Callithrix jacchus: one gene and its partner. The protein of the gene in region 2 binds, or shares a complex with, the protein of the main gene of each other region. Links are inferred from orthologs where the notes say so. Each region holds a gene or a part of one and is shown on either strand. Other genes may lie near its edges.

Region 1 (4,523 bases), on a different chromosome or scaffold from region 2:
TAGCTGGGCATGGTGGCGCGTGCCTATAATCCCAGCTACTCAGGAGGCTGAGGCAGCAGAATTGCCTGAACCCAGGAGGTGGAGGTTGTGGTGAGCCGAGATAATGTCATTGCACTCCAGCCTGGGTAACAAGAACGAAACTCCGTCTCAAAAAAAAAAAAAAAATTCTCAAGTATTTAAAACCCAGTGTCTGGGCCGTGCAAGGTGGCTCATGCCTGTAATCCCAGCACTTAGGGGTGATGAGGCGGGTGGATCATTTGGGGTCTGGAGTTTGTGACAAGCCTGGCCAACATGGTGAAACCTCATCTCTACAAAAAATACAAAAATTAACTGGGCATTGTGGCAGGCAGCTATAATCCTACCTACTCGGGGAGGCTGAGACAAGAGAATCACTTGAACTCGGGAGGCTGAGGTTGCAGTGAGCCGATAAGAGTAGTGTTACTGCACTCCAGCCTGGGCAACAGAGTCAGACTCTTGTCTCAAAAAAAATAAAAATAAAAAAAATAAAGGATAAACAGAAAACTAATGCCTGCACTGCTTTTAAATCTCCTCCCACTTGTATCTTTTATTTTAATCTTATTTCAGGACTTAGACTAAATGCTGTATTTTTGAGAGACTTCTCCCTGTCCTTCTAGCCCCGTAGAACCTTCTATCAGAGAGTCTATATTCTTCCTAATGGGTGCTTCTCATTTTGTAGAAATAACATTTGCTGTTTATGGCCTGTTCTTTTTTTGTTTTGAGATGGGAGTCTCACTCTGTCGCCAGGCTGGAGTGCAGTGGTGCAATCTTGGCTCACTGCAACCTCCACCTCCCGGGTTCAAATGATTCTCCTGCTTCTGCCTCCCTAGTAACTGGGACTACAGGTGCGGGCCACCACGCCCAGCTAATTTTTGTATTTTTAGTAGAGACAAGGTTTCACTATATAGGCCAGAATGATCTAGATCTCTTGACCTCGTGATCCTCCCACCTCAGCCTCCCAAAGTGCTAGGATTACAAGTGTAAGCCACTGTGCACCATGCCCATCCTATGGCCTGTTCTTTTTTGAGACACAGTCTCCCTCTGTCACCCAGGCTGGAGTAAAGTGGTATAATCATGGCTTGCTGTAGCCTCGACTTCCTGGGTTCAAGTGATCATCCCACCTCAGGCTGGGATTAGTCCCTAATAACTGGGACTACAGACATGCATCACTACACCTGGCTAATTTTTAAATTTTTTGTAGAAATAGAGGTCTCACTATGTTGCCCAGGCTAGTCTCAAACTCCTGGACTCAAGTGATCTTCCTATCTCAGCCTCCCAAAGCACTGAGGTTACAGGTGTGAGCCACCATGACCAGCCTAGTATTTACTTTTTTTTTTTTTTCCCAGATGGAGTCTCACTCTATCATCCAGGCTGGAGTGCAGTGGCACAATCTCAGCTCACCGCCATCTCTGCCACCTAGGTTCAAGCGATTCTCCTGCCTCAGTCTCCTGAGTAGCTGGAATCACAGGCGCCTGACACCACACCTGGCTTATTTTTGCATTTTTAGTAGAGACAGGGTTTCACCATCTTGGTCTGGCTGGTCTTGAACTCCTGACCTCGTGGTGACCACCCATCACGGCCTCCCAAAGGCTGGGCTTACAGGTATGAGTCACCTCGCCCAACCCGAGAGCCAGGGAGCCTGGCTACTAGTACTTACTCTTTAAACTATATAATGCTTTGTATTGTTTTCCAATACACAGCATAATCCCAAGCTTATCTGTAAATTTAAGGCACAAGGCACTTATTTTTAAATTTTTCTTAGAGATGGGGTCTTGCTCTATTGCCTGGGCTAGAGTGCAATGGAGTAATCATTGCTCACTGCAGCCTCAAACTCCTGGGCTCAAGCGATCCTCCCTCCTCAGCCTCCCAAAGTGCTGGAATTACAGTACTGAGCCACTGAGCCCTACCCATTTATTTCTTCCTTATATCTTCCACCTCTCCCAGCCTTCAAATAGTTCTCAAATTAAAGAGGTTCCAGGGCGTTGGGCACACCCACCCCCAACAGACTTGTTGGAACAGGTACCTACCTCAGGTCATTCTTGAGTTCCACGACCACATCCTTGCCCACAAGGGACTTGAAAAAAGAATAGAAGAGCTATTGGGTGAGAGGGGGAAAACCATCATGTGGGAAGGAACATGGTAGGGAGGAGTGTCCCTTGCCAGTATTACCAAACACTGGTATTGTGAACCCCACTGCATCTCTGACAGTTCTCAAAACTTCACAGGAAAGAATAATCGGCTGACAGAGGTGAAAGGCTGGAGCCTATATTATTCCACACACTGCATTGAGCCCATCACTTAAAGTTCCAGAGAGGCTCTGCCCTGCATACGTCGGCCCAAGTGTGCTCTCTCAGTCGGCCACCTTCCTGGGGTCCCTGCCCACTCCTTTCAATGAACTGCAGAAAATATCCCACCCCCACCCGCCGGAAGCCTGCTTGGTCTCCGGCAGATTAAGTGCTCTAAGGTCTAACTTTTCTGTCTCCCGCTGTCCCCATTGACTCTCTCTCAGGGTTGAGTTTTTTTAACCTCCCATGGAAAAAAAAAAAATTCCCATTTGCTTTCAGGTATCTCCTCAACGAACTTGAGGCACAAGACTAAGGACCTAAAACTCCAGCCCAGGGGGACAAAGGCCAGACTCCCCGCCCCAACCGTCCGAGCTCCCCGAGGGCACCACCTTTTGACTTCACAGTACCCACCATGGTTTTGGCGCCGCGGGCAGCGGGCCGGACCGGGAAAAGATCAGGCTGCCGCCAGCAGGTCTGGGGAAACCGAAGCGGGAGCCCGCGCGTGGGGCGAGGCGGGGCCGCGCAGGCGCAGCGTGAAAGGACGTAGACAGCTCCAAGCACTGAAGGGGAGAGCGCGGCCGACTTGTGGCTGGGGAGAGCACTCTGGGTAGAACCGAAGGGAGGAGGAAGCCGGGAAAGGGGCGGGGTTCCTGCATTCCGACTTCCTCCCGGGCTGGCCGGCTCCCATTGCGCACGCGCGGACCCGGGCCTGGGCTGCTGGGCGGGTGGCGGGACTCAGCTCCTCAACTCAAAGGATACTGTTCTTTTCCAGGATCCTGTCGTCCATAGCGTCAAGTCCTCCTGATTTACACACACTCCTAATCGAGAATTGTGGGGAGTTTGTGAAGATTATGAAGTATGCACTTTTCTATATTGGTTAAAACCATAAAATGTAAAAGTTTTGAATCTTTTTTTTTTTTTAATTTTTTATTGGATTTTAGGTTTTAAGGTACATGAGCAGAACATGCAAGACAGTTGCGTAGGTACACACATGGCAGTGTGCTTTGCTTTCCTTCTCCCCTTCATCCACATTTGGCATTTCTCCCCAGGCTATCCCTCCCCACCTCCCCCTCCCACTGGCCCTACCCTTTTCCCCCCAATAGACCCCAGTGTTTAGTACTCCCCTTTCTGTGTCCATGTGTTCTCATTTTTCATCACCCGCCTATGAGTGAGAATATGCGGTGTTTCATTTTCTGTTCTTGTGTCTGTTTGCTGAGGATGATGTTCTCCAGATTCAAACGACACAAACTCATAATTTCTGATTGCTGCATAATATTCCATGGTGTATATGTGCCACATTTTTCCAATCCAGTCTATTATCAATGGGCATTTGGGTTGATTCCAGGTCTTTGCTATTGTAAACAGTGCTGCAATGAACATTCATGTACATGTGTCCTTAGAGTAGAACGATTTATAGTCCTTTGGATATATACCCAGTAATGGGATTGCTGGGTCAAATGGAATTTCTATTTCTAGATCCTTGAGGAATCGCCACACTGTCTTCCACAATGGTTGAACTAATTTACACTCCCACCAACAGTGTAAAAGTGTTCCTTTTTCTCCACATCCTCTCCAGCATCTGTTGTCTCCAGATTTTTTAATGATCGCCATTCTAACTGGCGTGAGATGGTATCTCAATGTGGTTTTGATTTGCATCTCTCTGATGACCAGTGACGATGAGCATTTTTTCATATAAGTGTTTTGAATCTTAAATTAAGTTGAAAAAAAGAAAAAAGGGCCAGAGGCGGTGGCTCACGCCTGTAAGTAATCCCAGTACTTTTGAGAGGCCGAGGCGGGTGGATTATGAGGTCAGAAGTTCAAGAGCAGCCTGGCCAAAATGGTGAAAACCTGTCTCTACTAAACATACAAAAATTGGCTGGGCGTGGTGGCTCATGCCTGCAATCCCAACATTTTGGGAGGCTGAGACAGGTGGATCACTTGGGGTCAGGAGTTCAAGAGCAGCCTAGCCAACATGGCGAAAACCTGTCGTCATTAAAAATACATTTAAAAAATTAGCCAAGCGTGGTCACAGGTGCCCGTAATCCGGCTACTCAGGAGGCTGAGGCAGGAGAATCACTTGAACCCAGGAGGCAGAGGTTGCAGTGAGCCGAGATTGCACTACTGCACTCCAGCCTGGGCGACAGAGCAACAGGGCAAGATTCCCATCTCAGGAAAAAAAAAAAACAAAAAGGCCGGGCACAGTGGCTCATACCTGTAATC
Region 2 (3,814 bases):
GAACCTGGGAGGCAGAGGCTGCAGAGAGCCAAGATCCACTGCACTCTAGACTGGGTGCCAAGAGCAAAACTCAGTCTCAAAAAAAAAAAAAAAGAAAAGAAAATGGTCTGTAGGCAAAACCATCCAGGACGTAGGAACAGGCAAGGACTTCATGACTAAAACACCAAAAACAATGGCAATAAAAGCTAAGATAGACAAATGGGATCTAATTAAACTCCAGAGCTTCTGTACAGCAAAAGAAACCATCATTAGAATGAATCAGCAACAAACAGAATGGGGAAAAATTTTTGCAATCTATCCTTCTGACAAAGGGCTAATATCCAAAATCTACAAGGAACTAAAACAAATATACAAGAAAAAAACAACCCCATTCAAAAGTGGGCAAAGGATATTAACAGACACTTTTCAAAAGAAGACATATATGAGGCCAAGAAACATGAAAAAATGCTTACCATCACTGGTCATTAGAGAAATGCAAATCAAAACCACACTGAGATACCATCTTACGCCAGTTAGAATGGCGATCATTAAAAAAATCTGGAGACAGCCAGGCGTGGTGGCTCACACCTGTAATCCCAACATTTTGGGAGGTCAAAGAGAGCAGATTGCCTGAGGTCAGGAGTTTGAGTCAGCCTGGCCAACATGGCAAAACCATGTCTCTACTAAAAATACAAAATTTACTAAAAGTACAAAATCTACTAAAAATACAACAATTAGCCAGGTATGGTGGTGCAATACTGTAATCCCAGCTACTTGTGAGGCTGAAATTAGAGAATCACTTGAATCTGGGAGGTGGAGGTTATAGTGACCTGAGATCGCACCACTGTACTCCAGCCTGGGGACAGAGTGAGACTCCATTTCAAAGAAAAAGAGAGGGACGGGAAATAGTATGTGTACTGGCCAAGAAATTACTGCCTTCTTGTCTAGTCAGATGATCCTCAGACAGTGAGTCTTGCTAAGGACTATACTCGAATTGTTCTGCAACAAGCAGAGCATTCCTTTGTCTGCTCACTAGGCTGCTGTGAAATGGTGAGGTTTTTTTCTAGCCTCTGGGCTCATGGCCTCTGGAACTTCCAGGGAATGAGGGACTGAATCTGTGTGTCCTTGCAGTATCAAGTAAGAAACATGCCAGATGCATTCTGTTGTTTTTCTTTAGATGTTTGCTGTGCTGGCTAGCCAATGACTTTTTTACCCATGTGCTGATAAGCCTGAAATGGGAGAGGCAGAAAGTCAAAGCTGTCTTATTTTCAATTAAGTTATTTTTAAGAAAATTATACGAGTAAGTAATAGGTGCACACTGTAGAAATTTTCTTTTCTTTTTCTTTTTTTTGAGACAGTCTTGCTCTGTCACCCAGTCTAGAGTACAGTGACAGAATCTCGGCTTACTGCAACCTTCGCCTCCTGGGTTCAAGCCATTCTCCTGCCTCAGCCTCCCCAGTAGCTGGGATTACAGGCGCACACCACCACACCCAGCTAATTTTTGTATTTTTAGTAGAGATGGGGTTTCACCATGCTGGCCAGGCTGGTCTCAAACCCCTCACCTTGTGATCTGCCCACCTCGGCCTCCCAAAGTGTTGGGATTACAGGCGTGAATCACTATCCCCAGCCTTCTGGGTGTCCTTCCCTTCCTCAGCGTTCCTGTCTTGATCCTACCTGAAGGACAGCGTTGGCATAGTCATTGGCCTTTATGTTATTCAGTCCCACGATACCCGGCAGGTAAGTGGTACCATCATATGCCCGGGACAATTTGGCTTGCTTGTCCAAGTTTGCAATTTGCTGCTTTGTAAAAGTGGGCTTCAATACATACTGTAAAACAAAAGAAAATTCTAAGTTGTTTAAGAGCTGAGTTCACAAGAAATGTCTGGAGCAGCTATTTCTGCAGAAACAAAAATGACTTTGGCCATGAACATCTCATGACACACGCAAAGAGTCCCAACCAATAGATGTAAAGACTGAAGTAACATGGGGTAGATCCTCTCCCATGACTAATCTACAAGGGGATCTCTGTGTTTAATCCAAAATCACTAAATCCCAGTGATTTTTGCAGACCTCAGGTCTGGTCAACTCATAACTGACTGCCAGAAACGATACAATACTCAAGTTTCTAACAGCAGTCTAAGCCTCAGAACCTCCCAGGGGCAGCACATGTACTTAGCTTTGGAGCAGGAGAGTTTCCTCCACGCTGGGTGAGACTGAGGATTTCCATGACTTTCTGGGACTGAAAGAGCAGGATCAGATGCTTCCCAGGTTCAGTCACCACAGTCATTATGTCACAGACTGGACAGAGGTCATCCCAAACTCACTTTGAAACACTGAATTTATTCCAGTTTCTCCCTCTATAATACTATCCATAACTTTTATTTTTTGAGACCGAGTTTTGCTCCTGTTGCCCAGGCTGGAGTACCATGGCACAATCTCGGTTCACTGCAACAGCCACCTCCCAGGTTCAAGCAATTCTCCTGCCTGAGCCTCCCAAGTGGCTGGGATTATAAGTGTGCGCCACCATGCCTGGGCAATTTTGTATTTTTAGTAGAAACAAGGTCTCATCATGTTGGACAGGCTGGTCTCAAACTCCTGACCTCAAGTGATCCACCTGCGTCGGCCTCCCAAAGTGCTGGGATTACAAGTGTTAGCCACTGCACCCAGCCTATGTATAACAATTTTAACCTCAATTATTAACAAACCTGGCAGTGGCTCATGCCAGTAATCCCAGTACTTTGGGAGGTCGAGGTGGGTGGATCATGAGGTCAGAAGATCAAGACCATCCAGGCGTGGTGAAACCCTGCCCCTACTAAAAATACAAAAATTAGTTAGGTGTGGTGACACACACCTGTAATCTACTGCTAAGGCAGTAGAATCGCTTGAACCTGGGACGTGGAGATTTTGCTGTAAGCTGAGATGGTGCCACTGCACTCCAGTCTGGCAACAGTGTGACTCAAAAAAAAATAGGCTTATAAAACTTTCGCAAGTAGAAAAACCAGTATTTCAAAAACTACCAAACTTTCCTTAAAAATAAACAGAACATGACCAACCTGTGCAACACAATGAGACCCCACCTCTTTTTTTTGAGGAGCTTCGCAGTTGTTACCCAGGCTGGAGTGCAATGGCACGATCTCGGCTCACCGTAACCTCCGCCTCCTGGGTTCAAGCAATTCTCCTGCCTCAGCCTCCCAAGTAGCTGGGATTACAGGCGCACGCCACCATGCCCAGCTAATTTTTGTATTTTTAGTAGAGATGGGGTTTCACCTTGTTGACCAGGATGGTCTCGATCTCTTGACCTTGTGATCCACCCGTCTCAGCCTCCCAAAGTGCTGGATTACAGGCGTGAGCCACCGCACCCAGCCGAGACCCCATCTCTATAAAAAAAGTAATAAATTTATCTGGGCATGATGGTACATGCCAGTAGTCCCAGTTACATGGGAGGCCGAGGTGGAAGGATCACTTGAACCCATGAGGTCAAGGATATAGTGAGCTGTGCTGGTGCTGCACTCCTGTCTGGGCAACAGAGTGAGACCCCATCTCAAAAACAAAAACAGAGCATTTGGCACCATGAATATTCCCCACATGCTGAAAAGAAAAATAATAATCAAAAGCCCAACACTAATCAAAGCCCAAGAGGACTTTCCATGTTCAGTACAATGAGTATCTCTTGGTCCAGGTCACAAACTAGAGCCCACAGATGATACATCTGTGGCTGGATGCTCTGGCCACATCATAAAATAAAAGCAGCCAGGAGCTGGTGTGCAGCTTGGTAACTACTGTCCTACACCACACCCAATTAATATCCCTACTTCAAAGTGTGGAAGAATAATTC

The links.
Region 1: USP39 (region 2) and LSM2 share a complex: the UniProt entries of both Homo sapiens proteins name them as parts of the U4/U6-U5 tri-snRNP complex. The link is inferred for Callithrix jacchus from reciprocal best matches to the Homo sapiens genes USP39 and LSM2.

Annotation. Positions count from the first base shown.
Region 1 is NC_133505.1:39,306,729-39,311,251, forward strand, and holds the start of LSM2 (U6 snRNA-associated Sm-like protein LSm2), read right to left. Parts: upstream 2,818-4,523; 5' UTR 2,718-2,817; coding exon 2,715-2,717; exon of another isoform or gene 2,583-2,714; intron 2,114-2,582; coding exon 2,046-2,113; intron 1-2,045. UniProt on the Homo sapiens protein: Plays a role in pre-mRNA splicing as component of the U4/U6-U5 tri-snRNP complex that is involved in spliceosome assembly, and as component of the precatalytic spliceosome (spliceosome B complex).
Region 2 is NC_133515.1:27,397,302-27,401,115, forward strand, and holds part of USP39 (ubiquitin carboxyl-terminal hydrolase 39), read right to left. Parts: intron 1,807-3,814; coding exon 1,654-1,806; intron 1-1,653.